3 linked regions of the Rhinolophus ferrumequinum genome follow. Each later gene encodes a partner of the first gene's protein in a complex. Links are inferred from orthologs where the notes say so. Each region holds a gene or a part of one and is shown in the gene's direction. Other genes may lie near its edges.

Region 1 (7,215 bases):
TGGCACATAGTAAATGTTCAAAAATGGTAGTTATTATTCTTACTGATTAAAAGTGTAATAGGAATTCACAGATGAAAAACATTGGTATAGGCTTAAGAATTATTTTGAATTCACCTACCCACTCACTCATTCTTCAGATTAGGAAATTAGGACTCAGAGAGGTTGAGTAGTCAAAGAAAGTTGCATGAAGGAGGTGATAGTTGAGTTGGATTTTGAGGGATAATAACAATAGTTGATATCTACTGAATGTTTTCTGTGGGCCAGAGACCATTCTAAATGCTTTACATGGGTTGTTTTATTTAATCCTCAAAAATGTAAGGTAGCATTTCAGTAGAAGTAGATGGTCTGCAGCCAGACAGGAAGAATGGAGAGAAAGGAATGAATAAAAACCTGGAGGCAGGAAAGACATGCTGATTTCTAAAGATGAGGAGCTTGTCTTAGGTGGTGATGAGAAATGTTGTTGGATATACAGCGAGGCAAAATTATGAGGCTTTGACAACTATACCAAAAAAAAAAAAAAAAGCAAAGGCTTTGTGGAATAGCAAAATAAAGAGCAGTTATAAATAAATGACATGGGGAAGGGAGGATACAGATGGAGGTGGGGTTTTGGGCACTTGGATTTGGTGGCATGCATTATGAAGCCCTGAAGGCAGTTTGAACTGTGTTCTTCATAGTCCCAGGGACCCACAGCTTGTACTAGCCACTGTGGGTTCCCTTTAGCCACTATTAGGAGAGTACTAGCATAGTTTCTTGTAAAGTAGGAGCTTAATAAAGGTTTATCAAAGTAATGAATTAAAAAATGGATTGGAGGTTGTTTGTAGGTAGGACGTGATGAGAACTGAGATATGATTAAGACAATGGGAATGGAAATAATGAGTCAAATCCCAGAAACAATTTTAAGAAGAAATAAAAGGACTTGGGCACATATTGGACATAAACTAACATGTAGAGCCATACGTCAGGTTTATTATATGCAGCAAACTGCAGTGCATTTGACACATTCTATTTTGTTGTTTAAGCAGAAGTTCTGTATTTGATACAAATTGAAATGAATCACATTTCAGGGTAATGATACTATAAGTAGTTTCATTTTTACCATTAAAACTTCTGTCTCTTTACTTTCTACTCCTACTCCCTCCACCCAAGTTCTTACCAGTTTTACCCGGATTGTTATTGGAGTTTCCTATGAACTCTGGCCAAGTAAACTTTCTCATCTTCAAGCACACCTGCCAGTTTCCTCCTCCCACCATTTTGTTCACACTGTTGCTCTGGACCATGACTACCCTTTCTCCTACCATTTCATTCCCATTACCAGTTGGGATCTTAGTCATTCTTCACAACCACATCACCTGCTCACTTCTCCATGTCTGATCAATCCAGCTAGAACTGACTGCTTTCCTTCTGAACTCCCTGACTGCATTTCACCATGCTGCCTTGTTCTGGTCATTTGATTAACCTTTATCAGTATTTTTATTTATATCCCCTACAATGATGGTACTGTGTGTTGCCTAGGTATTCAGTAAATATTTATGGCATGAATCAAAAGTATTTTAAATACTGCAAATTCCTTCCCAACAAAAACTTTCCCTTTGAGGAAAGGTTAGTGTATTCAGTTTTACGCTAGTATGCATCTTTTGTACCATTGAGAATTTTATGTCACCATTGTTGGAGATACTTAGAAAAAGAGGGAACTTTAGGGGAATAAAAGGAGTTAACGTGAAAGACTGTGCAGGATTAGCCATTTGTGCAAGGAAACTTTTGGTTAGATAAAGGAAGCTCAAGAAAATTAAACCTGAACCTTTATTGCTGCACTCCTGCCCCTTAGAAGGTAGGGAAGTAAACTGAATATAAGAGGTTTGGGACTCCAGCCTTTGGGTCCTTGGGAACCCAGTAGGACCTGGAAGTCAGAAATCCAGAGCATTGAGGCTGGATGAGGAACCAGTGCAGAAAGAAGATGCCTCCTAGCAGGCATGTTATCTGCAAAAAGGGCAAGCTTAATTTGTAAGCATATATCTCAACTTGCTGTGGAGGGTGATGCTACAATTTCTAGGGAACAAGAAACTTAGTTGTATAGTGCCCATTATTACTAATGCAGGGTGTGGAACATGTTATCTGTAGGCTGTTATTTTAATGAAGGTTAAATATTCTATGTTCGTTTCCTTGGTGGTTCACTCATGACTTAAGACTACTTTGTTCTATAAAGTCTTAGGTTCCTCAAGCAACCAAATTCAACTAGTAGGATTTTCAGAAATCTAACACAGTCGGCTGAAGAGGACTGCTGTACTAACATTCAGCCAGAATTTTCAGAACTGTTAAACCTGGCTTGATAGGTGTCTTATTCCACAGTGCAGTTGACAATTCTTGAGGATCCCAGACTGTGACATTGTCTCTCATGACTTGGAGTCTTTGCACATGCTCCTTCCCTTGCCTAAAATACCTTTCATCTCTTCATTTTTCTGCAAGGTTAACCCGTACTTATCCGATGTATTTTTTTCTCAGATATCATCTCCTCCAAAAAGCCTTCCCTGAATGCTTTCATTAGAGCCACTCCCCATGGATTGGGTGCCACTCCTGCCTGTTCCCACGATTGCCTCACATCAGTTGTGGCAGTTGCCATCCACAGGTCCTTCTCCCACTGTGCTAGCTCCTCCAGGAGCCTTATGGGTGCTAAGTAACCAGCAGCATACTTAGGCCATGAGGGCCCAATAAATGTTTTTCATTGAAAGATTAAGTGCACAGTCTTAGTATAGGAAGTATAAATGGAAATCCCTCTGCCTCACAGAGGTGAATTGTCAATATTAGAGTTTTAGGATAATTTTGGAGAACTCCAGTCTCTGCTCACCTTGTGTCTTCCCCACCAAGGTGTAGCTAAATCAGCCTGAAAGACAGCAGTGTGCCTATGGGCTGTAAGCTAGTAACAGTTCCTATCCAACCCAGTATTTGAGTAATGATTATTTTTACTATGTAGCCTCCAGGGAGAAGAGCAGACTTAAAGAAACATTTTTGTATCTCAGTGAACATATGAAATTTTGCTGCCAAACTGATTAAACCCATCCCATTAAAACAGTCTTTCTGATTTTTAAAATACTCTGCTGGAAAGAGCTCTCTGGGCATAACCGTTTTCGTGTGTAATATAAACCAAATATTAACAATCTAGCACATGCATCTAAAGCTCTCTAATACAGCTTTTCCTTTACTCTTTTTCGGTTTGGCAGGAGCACTACAGATCTTTGTATGATTCAATTTTATAAAGTTTTTCAGAGAATAAATGGTGTCAATTCATTAACTATGTTGAACTAGCATTTTCTTTCAGTACCAACAAAAATCATGAGCTACAAATGGCTCTAAAATTTTGAAGGTCTTACTTTAATTTTTTTCTTAAACATTTATCTGATAATAAATATCCCCTTTGCTTCAATTGTAATAAAAGAGTGAATATGAGTAGATAAAATGCAGGATTAAAAAAAAACCCCTACTTTATATCAGAGTAGGGTAACAACCGTTTATATTGAGCCCGATAGGTGGGAACTGACCAGTGATTTGTTGCGGAGCCTCTCAAATATTATAATCCATTTTCCTTAGACGTAAAAATAATTGCTGGCGAAAGTTCACCTGAAGTAGCATTTTGCCCCTAATTTCGTTTGCATTTTGTTTTAAGGACCTAAAACGCAGCGATAACTATGTATCACCCACAGACTGCCATCGGTGCGCAGCGCCCCCGGAGCGCCGCTCCTAACCCCACCGCCCACGGCCGTGGCCTCCGGCATCGCCCCTGCCCCGATCCCGGCTGCGAGCGGGGGTGACAGGTGCCGGAGCTCGCCTGTCCCGGGCAATAGCGCCGCCCAGCCAATTCTCCCGCCGTGGCCATTCGGAAAGCCGGCGTGCGGTGCACATAGTTTCCCTGCACCTTCGCCTGTCAGCAAACGGCGCTGGGAGCGAGCGAGCGAGCGTGAGAAAGTGAGCGAGTGCGGGCAGCGAGAGGAGGCGCGGGGAGTCGGCTCCCGGCGTCCGAGCGCCCACTCCGCCCCGGCCGCCTCCAGACCCGCAGAGGGCGGGGGCCTCGAGCAGCCAGGCGCGGACAGCGCGGCCGGCGGGCGCCGGGGGTTGGCGGGACGCGCGCTCCGTGCCGGCGCCCGCTCGAGCCCGCGCTCCCCCCCCCCCCTCCGCGCCCGCGTGCCCGCGCCGCTGCGCGATGCAGTGTGGGGAATGGCTGGGGTTGGCTGAAGAGCGCACAGTGGAGTTTTAATGTCCGCCATGTTGGCCATGGCGTATTGAAGAGAGCGAGCGAGAGAGGAGCGGAGCGGCACAGCCTCCCACCCTCCCGGCTGCTGTTAGTGCCCGGACGGCGGGCTCTGCGCTCCGCCCCTCAAGTCCCCGGCAGCGGTAGGCGAGTGGGGACCGAACCCCCGGTTCTCCATGATCCCGCTGGCCGGGGCCGTTTCCCCAGAGCGGAGAGGTATCTGCTGCGCCTGAGATGAGTAAACTGTCGTTTCGGGCGCGGGCGCTAGACGCCTCGAAGCCGCTGCCGGTTTTCCGCTGTGAGGATCTGCCCGACCTGCACGAATACGCCTCGATAAACCGGGCCGTGCCGCAGATGCCCACCGGAATGGAGAAGGAAGAGGAGTCGGTACGTGTTAACTCCCCTGTCCGACCCACCGCCAGGCCCCGCTCCCTCTGCTGCCTGCGGCGGCGGCGGAGCAGCAAACCCACACAAAATGGCCGCCATCTTCTCTCCGCCGCCGACTCTCAGTCGCCGGCCGGGCCTTTACCCCGCCTCCCCCGGCCTCGACCCCCAGCCGCCACGGCCCGGCGGGGTCTCCACTGAGGCCACCCGCCGACCCCGGCCACTTGTACCCGGGTCCCACGGAGTTCGGGAACCCAAAAGGCACAAAGGGGTCACGTGACGAAGCTGCCGGCAGCCATTTTGTGGTCTCAGTTGTTGGGTTGGGCCTTGTGCATCCGGAGAGGAACGGGCTGGGTGGCGGTGGGGGTGCGGCGATCCGGGAGCCGGGGAGGACCCGCCTGCAGGCCGCTCCGCGGGCCGCTGGGTGGCGCTCTAGGGCCACCTCGGCCTTCGCGCGCTGCCGGCGCCGGGGAGCGCAGATTCTGTGTCCTGTAGGGGTACTTCAGTTCCCGGTGGCGGGGAAAGCTTGTGAGGCTCAGTGCGGCCCCCACGTGGAGCTTCACAGGGGCATGTAATGTTGACTGTAGGTCTTTGAGGCTTGTATCTCCTTCCCTGCAACGAAATGTCGAGGGTACTGCTTGTTTGCCCAGACGACTGACTTTCATAACATGTAAGACTCATTTTCTGTATCCTCGTTCTGGGACTTTTGCATCCATCCCTTCCCAAGTCTAGTTAGTCGGAGGATATATAAACGTCCCTGAGTTTTCCTTTGATCCTTGAGAGTATGTTGCAGGTTTTTCTTCTGTTTTTTTTGGAGTGCGTGGCTCTTCTAAAACATGTAACTTCATTATTATTGGGTTTTTTTAAAAATAAAATTTAAGTTCGCATGCTTTCTGGTTTCTCAACGTGGGGAGAGAAAACACCCAATTTAAGTAGATGTTACAGATCTAAATTTTGAAAGAGGGACTTTTCTCATCCAGAATCGAACTGAAGTGAATTCATTCACAGAAATCTTAACATCGAGATACCTAATTTAGGTGGGTTTCAGTATTTAAATATTTACAGCTAATAGACATTTGATCATAGCTGTGGCTTTACCTTGTTATAGAAGTTGGGTTTAGACACAAGGATAATAGAATCTTCCTCTCATTTCCCCCAGATCCTTGACAGTATAACTTGATGACTTCTAATCCTAAGGAATTGCATTCCTTGGTTTTCAGGTACAGCCATTTAAACAGGGTGCAGTGTATTGACAGTTCAAGGAAGTCGAGGAGTCGCTGGATTTGTGTGCTACAATTTTGTTGTGGAAAATTGTACTGTAATACCTCTATTGGTAACTGTAAGAATTTTAAATGTGGAAATTATGCTCTGTAATGTTGATTTTGAAAATAAAGCTGTTTAAACTGTTTGGGTTGTTCAACCTTTTAAAGTAAAATAGTTGTGACAGTCGAATGTTACTTTTGAGAGTAGTGTCTGAAATCTAACTACAGATAAGCTAAGTGTTAAGTGTATGTAGTAGTTGAGATTGTCGGATGTAGTACCGACTTGCAGCACATTATGAGACAGAACTCTAAATTTACTTGTATCAACAGAGTAGAATGGTGCCATTTGTTCATTTTTAAATGAGTGATTTGTTTTTAAAAATTAAAGTACTTGTGACTGCAGAATGTTGTCTTTTGGTTTTATTTTTGTTTCTATTTTTAAGTTTTACAGATAATACTTGAAATTTGGGGTATTGGTGTTACACTGCCCTGGAAATTAATTTGTAGTTCTTGTTTTGCAGCCAAGGAAGGGGAGAACCCTGGTAAAAGCAAGATAGCACTACAGTACACTTTAGAAATTTATTTAAGTCTTGCTTTAGTTAAGTCTTGGAGAGGACCAAGAGCTACAACCTGAAATCAAAGCTGAGATCAACTCAGGTAGCAATACGCTTGTTAAATATTACAGATAATTTTTTCTTCACTGAAATACTTTGACATTTTATAGCGCAGTGGATCTCATTAGTTTGTAACACACGTGGAGTCTGTTTGCGGGCCATAAGAGATTTTTTTTTTTCCCTTCACTACCTTTTTCTATCCTCTGTTTCACTTCACATCCAACCAAAACTATGATCAGTGAAGCATAGACCTCAGGAATAGATACTGAACTTAATAGAAGAATATAAACAGTACCAGGTAAACAGCTGTTCTATATTCCTGTGGCTCATGCTGGTGGTAGTGGCTATATAAATCACAATATTGAAAGTAGCATGTTACACAATTAAGAAAATGTGTACTAAGCATAAATAAACGTAATTGAATTCTGACTAAACCTTAGAGAAACAAATTTTTTTTTAATAATTTGTTGAAGCATGATTTACTTATAAAGACAAAAAGTTTAAACAAACTTTTGCCTTTGACACATTAGTTGGGGTGTCTCTTAGGTTGAGTGACCTATAACCTTAATTGAGTGTCTCGTTTAGAAAAAGCATAATCCTATGTTGATCATGAAAGATGGGACAGTTTTTGGATAAGAACAGTTTTGTATACACCACTTCATTAAGAAAGTATTTCATGAAATGATCAAAATGTATCTGCAAAACTGTGAGGTGA
Region 2 (7,899 bases), on another chromosome or scaffold:
TCCCTCAATCTTCCATAGCTTCTAACTACTTTGCGCGGTCGTCCCTGGCTCCATTCTCCAAGGGCCCATTTCCTCACAGAGCCTAAGCATTCTTGCAGTCCATTTCCTATTATATAATCCAGTATTTCCCCACAGCACTCAGAGCCCCCCCCAACTCCGTCCTCCTCACACCTGCTTCACAACACCACCTCTCTCAGCCTCTACTGCATCATTCCACCTTCTCCGTCTGTTAGTAGGCTCCTTTAACCCTCATTTTCCACGTCCCTCAGGCTCCCTTCAAAACTTCTCATTCCTTCCCAAACTCGGTGAGTGGAGAGAGAGGAGTCGTCAAGGCTGGATGTTTGGTAAAACGTGTCTGTGCGAGCACACGCCGGGGTATGTGGGAGGATGGGGGCACCAAGCGCAAAGGAATGACGCATTAGGGGGAGCCTCCGAGGAAAAGGACGTCTCCAGCAACTCCCACCCTCAACAAAATTCCCAATTCCCTCAACTCCCCAGCAATCGAAAGCGTGTCATCACTCTTCCATATCTGTTAAGTCCCGTGGCTTTTCTTCCATATTTTTATCCCATTCACCCCACACACAATCAGCTGGCCTCTCACACTGATTCCTCCCCGCTTAGGAGGCCTCCGTTGACTTTTCTCAACTCCCTTCGGTTTCCCTGCTGTTTCCTCCCTAACCCTCGCCGTCCATCTCCAGCCCTTCCTGACCCTATTCCTTCGAGTCCTCAACTCGGCCTCCTCGAAGACAGCCAGCGTTGTCGACGGCCTCCGTTTGCCCAGTCCAATCCATCCTTTCCTCGGACTCCCCGGCCCGCTCAGAAAGCCCTGCTATTTGAAAGCCCAGCCACGGGAAAAGCCCAGCCATCTGTCCTCCTAACCGGCACCTCCTCGGACATCCCCAGCTACAGGTGCCCTCCCACACCTCGCTCTTTGCTCCCACCGCACAGCCGTCATCCGCCCCCTGCCCACGCCCCGCCCTGATTACCTGAGGACGAGGTGCAGCCAGGAACCCCGGAATCCACCGACGAAAACCCGCCCGACGACGGCCCAGAGGAGGCCGACGCCATCTTGGCAGCCCCCTCCCCCTCACGGCCTCGCTCCCCTTCAATCCGGTTCTTCCTCTTCTCGGAGTCGAATCTTCCCCACGTCTCTTCACAGAACCCGCGTTCTGCGGGCCCCCTCCCGCCCCCTCCCGGGCCTCTCTCAGACACGTCGGGCCGGCTCCTGGACCAGCTCAGGGACACACCATTCCGCGGGCATGGGGGACGACCCGCGTCTCGCACCCTCTCGGCAACTTGAACCGCTTTCCGCCAGAGCTACTTTACCCTTTCACAAGAGAGTAGGCTCAAGCCGGCGGCCGGGACCACACGTCCCGACCAAATCACACGTAAAGGAATAAGGGGGCGTGAGAAGTCCCCGCGGAGCGAGCGCCCCTTCCCCCTCCTCCCTAGTCACACAGCCTGTTTATCGCCCAACTCCACCGCTCCGGGCGGCCAGTGAAATCCAGGCACTGCGCATGCGCCCAGCCTTCCCAGCGTTCCAGCCCACTCAGTGGGGGGGGAGGGAGGACCCGAGAGGGTCACAGCCAATCCGGAGGCCGCGACTAGTTACGTGACGCAGGTCCCTCGGGCCCTAACGAATCCAAGGATTGAAGACGTGCGCGCCCCGGGGCGCAGACTGCCCCGACGGTGGCTCGGTGGGTCCATTTCCATTCGGCTCTTTGAAAGGACTGGGTTGCGTCGCCTGAGATAGGGATGAGAGTCGGCTTGGCGGGCCCTGTCAATTTCACAGCCCAGGGAAGAACTCCCGATAGAAGCGCCAGGGGCAAGTCGGAGAGGTTAAGCAGTCGACTATCGCAAAATATCACATGCCACCAAGCATTCTTTCAGCTTTACTGCTTTGTTTACTATTTAGTTTAACGTGCGTGCATGTCGTGTCCTGCCTTCCTCTGAATGACTTTCGAAACAGATCTTACACTTCGTTGGCCTCAAACGCAATGCTGGGCACAGTGACAGAGTTCAGTAAATATGATAAATGATGACCTGTCAAAAAGGAAAGTGATCAAACCATATCACAATCTTCCCGTGCTCTGAGCCCTTGGCCTCTAACTCTCGTTTATCTGTGCTCCAAAAGGGATGGAAGATACACAGAGCATATCCCCATTTTAGTCTTCGTACCTACTCAGTTTTAACAAAGTGCCCTGGAGGATGTGAACTCGGTTGGAGATTGAAGACCTGACTGTGTCTCTCTGAAGAGATTAAACTGCTGGAGAGCAACCAGTTTGATTTACCCTTGTATCTTCAGCTCCTCTCTTGATGTGGCTCTGTACATATAGTAGGGGCTCTTTCATTATTGTGGAATGAATAAATGAAGGAAAATGGAAAAAAAATCCTAGGTTTGGTAGACCCTAAGATGGCCTGGTTTATCCTCTATCCGGATATATTCTGGGTCTTCAAAAGGGAACCTAGGACCTGACCAGGCAGAGACTATCCCCAGGCATTGACCTTTCTACCTTCTACCCCTCCAGCGTCAAGATGTAAAATAATTGTTTCCCTGCTGCCACCTGCTGGATTATTCATTCTCCTTTGGGTACTGAGATGATTGGATTGCCATTTGTAATTCCAAAGCAGAGGAATTGTGTAGTGTTGAAGTATTTTATGATTGCCTACATCTATACCCCCCACCCAATTAAACAGTACAAAAAATAGACAGGTGTGGGCACACCATCTAGCATACGATTTGGCTAATAGGCATTCAATAAATATTTGTTGAATAAATTATCCTTGTTTCCATAAAAGGCATGGAGTTGCTATCATTTCTGGAGTTATTTTAGAAATCAGCCGGTGTAGAGATAAAGCTGTTTCTGATTTTTAAATTGGAAATAGTCAAATAATTGACTTACCAGGAGGTCAAATGGGGTTTTCTCCCTGGGATTGGATCTATGAAATTTATTTCAGCCTTCCGGAAAAAAGAGATCCATCCTTATTTTGCAGCTTCTTAGGGGTCTTTGTTTCTCCTTTCTATACCAGAAAATGGCTACTGTTACTTCTACCACCTTGTATTATGTCAGTCTGTTAACTTGTTGGTTTCCCTCATAACACTGTGAACATTTCAGGGCAAAGACTACATCTTATCTATTTTTATATCTCAAGGATCTAGAGTAGTGCCTGGCACAGAGTAGGTGCCCAACACATGTCTCTTGACTATATGAATGAATGAAGGCAACATTTAAAGTTGGGCTAGGGGTGTCTCCCATCTTTTCTCCCCAAACCTTGTCTCTGCCCCCACTCCCACTCAATCCCCAGGATGCTCTGAGTCATGGAGCCACTCTGCCCAGTAACATTCCGGGCATAGCAGGTCTTCAATGATGTGGCAGGGTGTGGAAGGAGGGGCAGAGCAGGACATGTTGGCTTGCTGCCTCCAAGGAAACGGAAAAGGGAGTTCACCAATATATACTTTGGAAAAGGGGGACAATTTCGTGATCTCAAAATATGGCTACGAATACAGATTTGAAGGAAATAGAGCACACACACACACTCACACACCAGCTTTATTAAAGTGACCTTCATATCTTTGAACAGTTCCTAAGGTCAGAATGGATGGGCTAGGGGCTGCCAAGATCAACACAGAGGCAAAATAAGAGGATGGTTACCTAATTTATTCAAACAGCCCTTCATTAATTCATTCGTTAAAATTATTTAGTCCCACTATGAGAGTTTCCTGGCATACACAGATGAAGATAAAGTCCCTACCCTCAAAAAGATCATAGACTAATGAGAGAGACAGAAACATAAATCATTAGAATAAAATGTAATAGGTGCCGTCTTGGAGTGTGTGCATGTGCTATGGTTTGACAACCATACTTTCAGAATAAAAAAATGGGAAGAGAAGTTGATACAGAGGCTTAGACAATACCACAGACTCTTTGAGATTGGAACTATTCTAGAGAATCAAGGAGGTATGATCTCCATGATTATGAGAACTGTTCTAGGAAAAGGAATGAGTGTGCAAGAAGACTTCACTGGTCTGTACAATTAGAATTTTGCCAGATAGACAGGAAAAGAAAGGGATTCTAAGAAGAAGGAAAAGCAGGAGACATGGCAGAGAATTGGGTGTTAGGGAAGTGAAGCTAGAATAGGATGATGTGTCAGGAGATGAGGCTAGAAAGGCAGGAAGATGCTATTAACAAATTATGAAGGCTCTTAAATGCCATATTTGCCATAGTTATCACCTACTAAACACCTATGAGCTCACTAAATACAGTGCCAAGCAGTTTAAAAGGATTATATCTCTTAATCTTCTTAACAACATTCCAAAGTAGGTGTTATTATTACTAGTCCTACTTTACAGATGAAAAAACTGACATTCAGAGGGATAAAGCAACTTGTCCAAAGTCACACAGCTAGAAGACCTAAGTTCAAACTCATACTCAGGTCCGGCTGATTCTAAGGCTCTACCTTTAACCACACTACTATTCCGCCTTAAGGACTTTATCCTGTATATAACGTCCATTAAAGACGTTTGAGCAGAAGAGTGACAAAATCTCGGTTTTTAGAAAGGTTCCTACTAGCAGAGTGGAAAACGGACTGGAGCAGAATGAGACTGACCTCTTCTAAATGAAAATTTGTTGACTCCCAAATTTGGACTTAGAGTAGTGGGGCTCTTGGTGTCACCGAGTCGAATCATTCCATAGGCAAGGTCTGCGCGCAGGTCAGGGAGCTTGGGGGCGGTGTATGAGCAGGAGTGGGCGGGGCTGGCCTAGGGGGCGGGACTAGGAGCCCCTCGACGCTCTGCTGCTTCTGCCTGCAGACGACCGATTTCCGCCGCCGCCGCCTGCCCCCCGCAGGTAGTGGTGTCGAGCGCCGAGCCCCGAGAACCGCGCTGGGTGAGGGGCCGCTGGTGGCGGCGCAGTCTCGGTAGGCGTTATGAGTTTGGCTGGGGGCCGGGCCCCTCGGAAGACCGCGGGGAACCGGCTTTCTGGGCTCCTGGAGGCAGAGGAGGAAGATGAGTTCTACCAGACGACTTATGGGGGTTTCACGGAGGCAAGAGCTGGGCCCAGGAAGAGGGAGGGAAGAAAGCTAAGAGGAGTCTTGAAGGGAGAAACCTCGGACAAAGAAGGGGGCGGGGAATAGACCGGAGCCTTGTCAGTTGATACTCGAGACGGAGTGGGCGAGTCGGGGGGATGCATAGGAGTCCTAGACGGGGCAGGAAGAGAGGAGCTCTCTGGGGCACCCCGGAGTATGGCAGAAACCCACTGTGTTCCTATTCCTCTAGTGGCATCTCTCAGCGCGCTTCTGCTGTCTGGCACGCGACAGGCACTTCGTAGACATGCGGTATATCCTCGTCGGCCCACTGCTGATTTTGCATCTGAAGTATAGAAAGAAGCTTCCCCCCAAAGTAGGCTTAGCCTATTCCTTTTCCAGCTTTCAAACCTCAGTGTAAACGTCTCCTAAGATAATCCTTCCTTGACTGCCCTAAAAAGTGTCCTCATTTATTTCCTTCATGGAACGTATTTCTCTTTGTAATTAGGTTTGCTTAGCTTGTTTATACTTTCCTATTAGTTTGTAAGTGCTGTGAGGTTAGAGATAGTCTGTTTTGTTCAACAGTATGCAACCCAGTGCCTGGCCCAGTGTCCGGATTGGCTTGGCACTCGTGAGATCTGTATTGATTGAACCTATCCGTCCTTTAAATATGTGCTGAGTACCTACAGCTGTGGTAAACCCTCTGGGAACTATTAAAAACACGGTTTTGTCCTTCTGTATTCCAGACCCCAGTGGGCGACCTCGCTGGGTTAACAGTCAGTTAAAATAGTGTGTGATAAGGGAAGCATAAGGTGCCATGGTAACACATGTGAGCCAGAGTTGTTGGTCGAGATGGGTATCTCTGCGGGACATGATGTTTAAGCTGAGGACAGTGTGACAAGTAGGCCGTGGCTGGAGGAAGAGCAGTAGGCCTGGGAGCCCGGAGGAGAAAGGTTAGTCCAGGGAGTTACATGTTTGTGGCACTGGCCTGGAACCTACACATCTACTCTGATTCTCCAGACCATGAAGGAGAATAAAATTGGCAAGAATGGAGGGTGAGGCATAGGCCAAATTGTGTAGGGCCTTGTGACTGTTAAGGAATTTTGCTCTTCATCAGAGGACTGAGAAGATGATCAGATTGGTACTTTAGAAGCTTGCTCTGTGATGAGGAGAATGGTTTGAAAGAGGCAGTGTGAGCAGAGACCCATGGACAGGAGGGTTCAAGAGAAATCAAGGCAACAGAATCCACAGGACTTGGTGACTGATGGAGAGTCATTACGTACATAGCCCTAACCAGCTAGTTTAAAATAGAACTTTCTCATCCCTCTTCCAAAAGCCATTTTCCTATTCCTGTCATTTTACGAGTCGTTATTTAATATGTACCCATCATGCTTCCAAAAAGGATTTAAGGAGGCTTACGATATAAACAAAAAGTAGGAACAGCAAAAATAGAGACACATCAGAAGTAATTGTACCAGGAGCCTTTGCTGAAATGGTCCTAGCAATTGATATTAAATTTAGCTGTGAGTTTCCTGGCAGTCAAACCCTGAATTTCTTTTTTAGTAAGAAAGAAGCATATAAGTTCTTTAAGAGACACAGATTTATTCAGCATTCAATCCTAGGGAGAATCGCATCCTTATATAAGACGTATAGAGTAACGGGTTTGGTAGGTGATGTAAAAACATTGTCTTACCTAGTCATGTCTATTAATGACCCTCGATGAAAGCCAAAGGAACGGTAGTAAATCCGTAACCGAGTGAAAGCATTTCCATTAGGCCCTAAGCTAATGTGTAGTTGACCTCCTAGACTGTGGTGAGATGACTTAATACCAGGTTAGAGCTGAGGGGATTAGCGTGTTCCCAGGCTGTTCCCCAGACATCACTTGGGAGGAAATGATGGTCATCCGTGCAAGATAGAACTCCGGCTGGCTTGGAGTGTCAGCTGTCTCTTATTTGCTTGGTTTGGCAGCGTGTGTGCAAAGATTAGCCCATTAGCCTGCATCACTGTTTGAAGAGAGAGCCACGTGTTTGAGGTGCCGCCCCACCCAGTCGACTTGCCTGCCCCCACTGTTTTCTTGTGCTTTCCTTTCCAACGTGGCTGCCATCTAGCCCTAATCTGCATCACCGCAAGTCTAGGCTGTACTCCATGTTCTCTACTCCAGCCCATTTAATCACCTCCAGAGCTTTCTACAACACGCCGCACCCACAGTTTCCCTCTGCCCTCAAATCTTCAGTGGTTCCCCACTATACATCGTAGTAGTACCCAACTGTTGTTTTTTTGTCCCAACACACCTGAGGAATGAGACCTGTATCTCAGTGATGAGACATATTTGTCAGTGACTTTAGTTTGCTTCAACAGTGATTATCAACGCTGGGACAAGTAAGGAGAGGGAGAGGATTGAGAAGCACCGGCCTGCAAGTTAAAATCATGTTTCTTAGCCTGACATTTAAGTTTCTCTATAGATTGAGTGCAACCTTCCTTTCAAATCTTACAGACCTATAGGACAATCTATTAATGTTGAGAGGAGGCTGTGTTGAAGCCAAAGGCAGTCAGCTAGGGAGACTCCTTGCCAGAGATAAAGCTGCTTTACTTGGGTCTAAATGCTTATTCCGTGAACGTGCCATCCACAGTCCTGCTTTGTTGCCGCTATTCCATCTGCCCACGGTTCCCTCTTCCCTCTTGCCTGTCTAAATACTACCAGTATTTTACAACATGGCCCAAGCTCTCTTCATTCTTGACACTCTAATGCAGGGTTCAGCAAACGACACACCACTGGACAGATCTGGCTCATTACCTGTTCTGATATGGCCCTTTACAGAAAAAGTTTGCCAATCCCCGGTCTAAAGGAATAAAGTCTGATATTTAAACCTTCCCAGG
Region 3 (7,622 bases), on another chromosome or scaffold:
AATATCATCACTGATTATATTTGGGTGGTGGGATTACAAATTTTTTCCAGATATTTTTGGACTTGTATTTCCTCTTCCCCCAAAATACTAAAATTTAATCATTTGTCCCAATAGCAATGCTATTACAGCCAAAGACTGAGTGAATCAAAATAAACTGGTTATAAACACCTCCTGATTAAACTGTATAAAAAAGGATACTTACTCTTCTTTAAGTCTTTTTTGAAGCTCATCTTTTGACAGTTTATTTTCACTGGTGTTTTTCATCATATCTTTCCGAAAACGATTGCTTATCATGTCAACCCTATAAAAAACAGAAGAGCGTACTTTAAATGACTTTTAAAGAACCAACATAAATAGTTGTTGCCTTTAGTAGTTAGAGAAAATATTTAATTGAACAATATATATATCAAGATTTATAAGACCTGAACCATCTCAGACACACATTCTCCATTTTTCCCAAAACAGCAAGGAGTCTCCAATATTTCAGATCATCCAGTTTACTCTTTGAAGAACTAATATTTCCAATTCATAATGACTTATCTAGACGTGGCTTATGCCATTCACCTAAATAAATTCTAGGTAAAACAAAGAATTAAATATATTAAAAAAAACCCAAACCTTAAAATACTATGAAGGAAGAATATAGGCAAACATTTCTCTCTCTCTGATGGACTTTTTACTGTTAAAAACAACAACAAAAAAAGGAGAAAAAATTCACAGATTTGACTATCTAAAAATTTAACTACTCTGACAACATTAACAACAAAATTAAAAGGCAAACAAAGCTGGGAGAAAATCTACAATAAATTTGACATATCAAGGTCTGAAATTCTCAGTATATAAGGAGTTGATATAGGAAGATCATTAAGAAACAGTCTCATCCTGCCATTTGTGACATGAATGAACCTGGAGGACATAATGCTAGGTGAAATATGACAGGTACAAAGGAAAAATACTGAATGATCTCACTTGTATGTGTAACCTAAAAAAAGTAAAACACATAGAAGCATAAAGTAGAATGGTGGTTACCACTGGTGGAGAAGTGGGGGAAATGGGGAGACGTTGGTCAAAAGTTACAAAGTTGCAGTTATGTAGGATGAATAAGCCTAGAGAGCTAATATACAGCCTGACTACAGTTAATAATACCGTATTGTATACTACAAATTTACTAAGAGAATAGGTTTCAGGTGCTCTCAACACAAAAAAGGTAACTATATGAGGAGACAAATATGTTAATTAGCTATGGAAATTATAGTTAATTCATACATGAACTATAACACATCCATTTAAAAATGTTTATACAGGTTTTTTTAAAGTGAGGAGAAAGGTGTGCGATATACTCATTCTTATCCAAGTACATATTGTGTGTTATTAGCTAACTTTTTTTAGCCTTTTCTCGGTTTCAGGTTCTATGCTAAGAGCTCTACATACACTATTTCGTTTAATCTCAAAAGCCTTCTGACACAATTACTATCATCATTCCCATTTTATAAACTTGTCCATGGTCAGTTAGGAACTGGTCAAATCAGGAGGCAAACGCAAGTCTAGACTGCGAAGAAGAGGAGAGGGCCAACATGTTGATAGTGGTTCTACCTCGGTGGCTGGATTAAGAATGACCTTTCCTATACTTTCCCATTATTTTTCAAATCTTCACATAATCACATATTCATAAAGAGAACTTTTTACAAAATGTGCAATATAATTTTGAAAGTATTCAGAGGGATTCTGGAAGAAAAGTTAGGCAACTTACATTTCCTCATCTTCATCTTCTTCATCCACCCAAACTGGCTTCTTTTGAGGTGGGAAATTATCTTTCGCTTCATTCTCCACTTCAGAGTCACCTGAGTCTTCCAGTGCTTGAACCTTGAGAAGACAAAACGATCTCAAGCACTGAATTTTTCACATCCAATGGTGGCAGACACACACATCTTGAAGTCAAATGGCTTGTAGAATGGTTTGCTTTTACAACCCTCTGATGAAATAGGACAGAATGCTATCACAGGAAATGCTGAAGACAGAATAGAAAATAAGATTAGAGAATGGCACCACAGGCTGAGCAGGTGAGGTAAGATGGAACAGTCAAGGAGTGAAAGTCTACATGCTCACAGGAAAACACCAAGTAAGACAAGAACAACAAAAGGAAGATGACCGATAAAGAAAGGGGGGGGGGGGGCGGGAGACCAGGAACTCCAGAAATTAAGGGACCAGAGGCAAACTAGCATCAAAAATAAAATAACATGGCCAGCCCGGTGGCTCAGGCGGTTAGAGCTCCATGCTCCTAACTCCGATGGCTGCCAGTTCGATTCCCACATGGGCAGTGGACTCTCAACCACAAAGCTGCCAGTTCAATTTCTCGAGTCACGCAAGGGATGGTGGGCTCTGCCCCCTGCAACTAAGATTGAACACGGCACCTTGAGCTGAGCTGCCGCTGAGCTCCCAGATGGCTCAGTTGGTTGGAAAGCGTCCTCTCAACCACAAGGTTGCCGGTTCGATTCCCCCAAGGGATGGTGGGCTGCGCCCCCTGCAACTAACAACGGCAACTGGACCTGGAGCAGAGCTGCGCCCTCCACAACTAAGATTGAAAGGACAACTTGAAGCTGAACAGCACCCTCCACAACTAAGATTGAAAGGACGACTTGACTTGGGAAAAAAGTCCTGGAAGTACACACTGTTCCCCAATAAATTTCTGTTCCCCTTCCCCAACAAAATCTTTAAAAATAAAATAACATAATTGAATATCATAGTTAACTCATATTTCATATTCTTAGACATACCTCTTCTCCATTTTTCTTAATCGTTCTTGATCCCCTACCTTTTCAAACTTTATACTGTACTATCAAGTCTAAATGTAGACCACAGAGTACTCCCTAAAGTGAGCTTGAGCTTTCCCAAAACCACGATAGAAATGTCCAAATGATTTCTACTTGCTGTTACCAGCCTATTATCCTTCAAAACCCAACAAATCCCACTTCATGTGGACTGTTTCTTTTCCTGACTAGGAAACTGTCACACAGTTCAGCACTTTTCCAGTAGTAGTTCTCTGATTCCCTACTAAGTTTCTGCAGCTTCATCCGTAAGCACCCAAAGGAGGTTCTGGCAATCAATCAGTTGATACTTGCTAGGTCCACGTTCATTTGCCAGACTGCATAATTCTCAGTGAGGCTTTATTTGACCATCCTAAGTAAAATGTCACAGACCTTCTCTCTACACACACTTATCTCCTTTTTCTCAAGTGCTTTAATGTTTTTCTTTTCAGGACTAGTCATTGACATACTTGAGTTTTACAGAAGTACTTATCTCCTTTATTTTCTGCCTCTGCCACTAGTACTCCAGGAGGCAGGGATTTTTGTCAATTTTTATCCACTGCTGTTTCTCCTCCAATGCCTAGAACAATGCCTGGGACTATCTTCGGAAAAATTCCAGATATATAATAAAAAGGATGAGAGAAAGTGCAAAAATTATAACAACTCAGGGTTTTTACAACCAGGAAAAGTATCTAGTACCCGATAGGCTCACAAATACTTGAAAAAACGAATACGTGGTCATTCTCAAAGATTGGCGAGTCAATCACTTGGGGAGATGTTAAAAGGCAGATTCCCAGGCCCGTGCCCACGAATTCAGATTCCACAAACGAAGTGGAACTCCTGAATCACCGCAAGGTACCGAGGCAGGCGATCGTCCGAACACAAGGAAAAAAACACTGAGTTTGAGGATAGTGGGGCTGAATCACCAAAGATGCGCATGACCCAGTTCGCTAAACAAATACGTGTTGAGCGCCTGCTGGATACTAGGCGCAGAGGCTCCCACGGGGGCGGAGAAAGGCGCGGTCTCCGCCCTCCCGAGACTTTCCGTTTGAGCCCCGTCGGCGCCCGCGTTCTCGGGCTCCCTCCCACCTGAGAGCTCCCCGGCGTCGCAGGTCGCCTAGACTCCGTCCCCGGAGGCTTGCCGCCCAGCGCGCGCCCCACCCGAGCGCGCCCAGCCCGCTCGCCGCGGACTCCCTCACCCGTGGGCCTCGCAAACGCTGCAGCAGCGCGTCCTCATTGTCCTCGACGTCGCCGAAGACCAGCTCCTCCAGGCACCGCTCCACTACTGGCTTGTCCTCCTCCAGCGTCAGGCGGTTCCGCTGCCGGAGCCGTTTCTCCTCCTCCACGGCGATTGCGATCGCAGCGGCCGCTGCTCTCGGCCGAGTCAGCGGTTTCCGCTGGGATGAAGGAGCAGCCTTTCGGGGCGGCCCGTCCGGCCCCGCTCCGGCTCTCCGATCCCGCTTCATTCGAGTCTTCTGGTTCAACCTCGTTCCGGTTCTCCGGTCCGGTCTCGTTCGGGTGCCCCGTTCAGGCGGCATCGTTAGCTTTGAGAAGAAACGCAGGTACTCACGTGGAGCCTCACTGCGCGTGCGCCGAAGCGCCTGTCTAGCCACTGTAGCTGAGGCCCCGGCGGGAGGGAAGGAGCCTGCGCAGCCTGCTAGCACGTGACCAACACTCTTTTTCCCTACGTAACGCCCACTCCCCTCACGAGCCCCTCCCCGTATGGGAGTTCCTCCGGGAGGACCAATCTTCCGGGTGGAAGGGGAGGCGGCGTGACTGGAGTGGAAAATTTTTTCCAACACAACTTAGCAGCTTCAACTGATTGAAAGGAGCACAAGAAAGCCAGAGTATAAACTAAGATGACTGAATGAAACTTCTCTTTCTCCTGACTTTTTGACCACTCGACTTAACACGAGCCTCAATTGCCTTTTCCACCCCTCCGTCTTGGTACGGCCCTTGGAGTACGGAGCCTGCAGAGGGTCCCACGCTGGAAGAGAGAGAGGAGGGTATGTAGGGAAGTGGGCCAATCGGGGCGCGGGTCACGGCGCAGGCGCGCTGGGGAGGGAGGGCTATGCTAATGTTGTTGATATCCTGGGGCCACCCGAGTTAAAGGGGGGAAATCCGGGGGCTGCCGCAGCCGCCACCGGTCTGGGCCCAGCCAGGGCACCCCTGTAGTCGCCGTAGTCCCGGGGAGAGGCGCCTGACCCCAGCCCGGGGAGAGGGCGCCGCCGGCCCGGGGAGCACGGACAACCCCTACCCATGAGGCCCTGATGGAAAACACAAAGGATCTGGTGAGAGCCTAGCGCGGCAGCCGCTTTGTGTACCAGGTGGGGGGGACGCTTGCAGCTCCCCGACCCTAGGAAGTCCTGCAGCTCCTTGACCCGGCTCCCAGGCCTGTTTCTCCATCCCACGCCCCCTCAACCTCCGGAGCTCCCCTCCCCCTACCGGCCGTTAAACGATCCAGGGGGTTCCCCTCCCCCCACCCCCTCAGCCCCGCTCTCCTCGGGGTTCTCTCTACACTTTTCTCTATCTGGAACAAAAATTTTAAAAGAAAGTTTTCCTCTGCGTCCCGCCCCCTCCCCCTTCAGCTCTGGCTGTAGAAGAAGTCTGGGTTTGAGACTTTCCCTTTTTCAGCCGCCCAGGGTGGGAGAGTGGAGTCCTCACTTCCCCCAGGGAGGCCTAGTTGTAGTACTTTGTGGAGGAAGGCGCCGGGCCGCTTTAGGGCGAGTGCCGCGAGGCCTTTCGCACGTGGAGGTGGAAATATTGAAAGGGGGCGGGGTGGGCACATGTGGGAGGGAGAGGTGGGAGTGGTGTTTGCGAAGCAGCCGCCTGGGCCGCTGTAGTTTACAAGGGTTCTAGGTCCGTGGGCTTCTATGACGAGTGTGTTCTCTTTTGTGAAATAAGAATCCTAACATTTCAGAGTCGGAAGAGACATTAGAGGTCATCACAGCAGCCGTCCCCTCTGCAGCTTCTCTGACAACTGGTAGGTAGCCTGGCCTTTGCTTAAACTCCTGCAAACACGAGCGATCGCTGCTAGCCAGGAAAGCCTGCTCTGTTTTTCAGTTGTCCTGATTGTTTGCCTCCCCTTAACAGACCCTGCAGTCTCTTCATGTCCTGGTTACGCTGCTCCCTTTTTTACTTCTCAAATTTTCTCTCACATCCTCCTCACTCACCCACCCACCGCTCACTGGCCTATATTTTGTGTGCCAGGAAAGAACGTCAGGGAAGTGGAGGGAGGAGGGTTTGCGAGCTAGTGAGGTCCTTGCTGAAGACTTTGCGGGGTCAAGTTTCAAAAGTGGTGGCTTATGTGTCTAAGAAGGATTGATATTTTACTACTGAAAGCTTGGAAAGTATGGTTTGGGGATTTCGTGCCTGTGCTCTCTCGCTAGTGCATCTCTTTGAAATTTCAGCAGCATCTCTGTAGTTCTGTCTCAGAGCACCTTTGCTCGTTGCCTAAAGCGCTTTCCCTAAGGATGCGCCTAAAACTGCTTCTTGGGGGTAGTACTGACGCTATTAGAGGGATGATCGGAAGAAACCCCCCTTCCTCCTTTTGACCTGCGTTTTCCTTCAAAGCTGGTCTTCCTTTTCAGGGCCTCTCTTTCACAGTGCTTTCATTTCTTTCTAGTTTTTTCCAAGTCTTTTATGAGCTTTGAAACTTTTGCAACACTTTAATATTTGCTTAGTTTGCGATATTTTTTGTGCTTTTTACATTAATATGTGCCAGTATTTATCGGTTGGTAGTTGAGAGAGTTCAGTTTCTACTATTGTCTGTCACTTAGTGTTTTTCTATTGTTCTCCTTCATTTGGTGAGCTTTACTGCCTCCAAAAGTATGATAGTTTTGTTGGCATGAGAATCTTGGGGGCACATGTTTTCCTCTTCCTACTATGGTGAAGTGGGAGTCCAGACATAACAGGGAAAATGTAGAAGTAATGAATCCGATCTAAAAGCCAGGGAATAAATTTCACTTTAAACTCCCAGTCCCGTTTAAAATGTTAGAGCACAGACATTTTTTCTCTCTCCCCCTTTTATGACTTAGAGACTGTTGTTCTGCTCCAGTGTGCTTAAACTATATTTTTTTTCATTTGTTTACCTCAACACTAGAGAGTGTTTAGAAAGAAAACAGCTTTTTTTGCACTGCCTCCTCTGAATAACAAATAGTTTCTATTTATATAGAACCCATACTCAAGGCTTCTGGATGCCTTGCAAATTATGGCAAAAACTGTCTTGAATAAGTATCTGTTCATAAGTATCTTATTTGGGCCATGTTTTTTAACCATTTAATTTATAATTTTATACAAACTTTGACATACAGTATTTCCTATAAATCTAGTCACTAGAATTTAACATGGCAATGGATTCTAGATACTGAAAAGAAATAATATAGATGTAAAAGTCTGTCTTTAAAGTTGTAAGTAAAGTTTTAATATGGAGCTCCAAGTTACTTCCTGCTTGCTTTAAACATGAACTGTCATGACTTAAGTTGACTGACTTTGGAGTCGTTTGCATTCTAAACATACTAGACAGGAACAACTGGTTTTATTTTTAAAGAACACGGTGCTGTATTTTTTATGGCTGGCTATATGTTGACCTAATTAGTGTCTAAACCTTCCTAGATGCTTCTAGTCCTTCAATTACATTGGAAGTTAGCAATTTAAATGGTTTTAAAACATAACATAGTAGTCAAAAGAAGGTAAAACTATAGCTTAGAAGTGAAAACAACATATTAATATCATAAATACTGAACCACTAAATTACTATAAGCCCAGAGTACAGTGGTTTGAGTGACCACATTCTAAAATTAGAAAAGTTGCTATTCT

What was found.
Region 2: EPC1 (region 1) and VPS72 share a complex: the UniProt entries of both Homo sapiens proteins name them as parts of the nuA4-related complex. The link is inferred for Rhinolophus ferrumequinum from reciprocal best matches to the Homo sapiens genes EPC1 and VPS72.
Region 3: EPC1 (region 1) and MBTD1 share a complex: the UniProt entries of both Homo sapiens proteins name them as parts of the nuA4 histone acetyltransferase complex. The link is inferred for Rhinolophus ferrumequinum from reciprocal best matches to the Homo sapiens genes EPC1 and MBTD1.

The regions. Positions count from the first base shown.
Region 1 is NC_046288.1:3,683,548-3,690,762, reverse strand, and holds the start of EPC1 (enhancer of polycomb homolog 1), read left to right. Parts: upstream 1-4,187; 5' UTR 4,188-4,474; coding exon 4,475-4,627; intron 4,628-7,215. UniProt on the Homo sapiens protein: Component of the NuA4 histone acetyltransferase (HAT) complex, a multiprotein complex involved in transcriptional activation of select genes principally by acetylation of nucleosomal histones H4 and H2A.
Region 2 is NC_046305.1:51,233,069-51,240,967, reverse strand, and holds the start of VPS72 (vacuolar protein sorting-associated protein 72 homolog), read left to right. Parts: upstream 1-4,826; 5' UTR 4,827-4,926; coding exon 4,927-5,043; intron 5,044-7,899. Other genes in the region: PIP5K1A (phosphatidylinositol 4-phosphate 5-kinase type-1 alpha), read right to left, coding at 987-1,068. UniProt on the Homo sapiens protein: Deposition-and-exchange histone chaperone specific for H2AZ1, specifically chaperones H2AZ1 and deposits it into nucleosomes.
Region 3 is NC_046304.1:32,514,350-32,521,971, forward strand, and holds the start of MBTD1 (MBT domain-containing protein 1), read left to right. Parts: upstream 1-4,546; 5' UTR 4,547-4,810; intron 4,811-4,861; exon of another isoform or gene 4,862-5,095; intron 5,096-5,724; 5' UTR 5,725-5,787; intron 5,788-7,622. UniProt on the Homo sapiens protein: Chromatin reader component of the NuA4 histone acetyltransferase complex, a multiprotein complex involved in transcriptional activation of select genes principally by acetylation of nucleosomal histones H4 and H2A.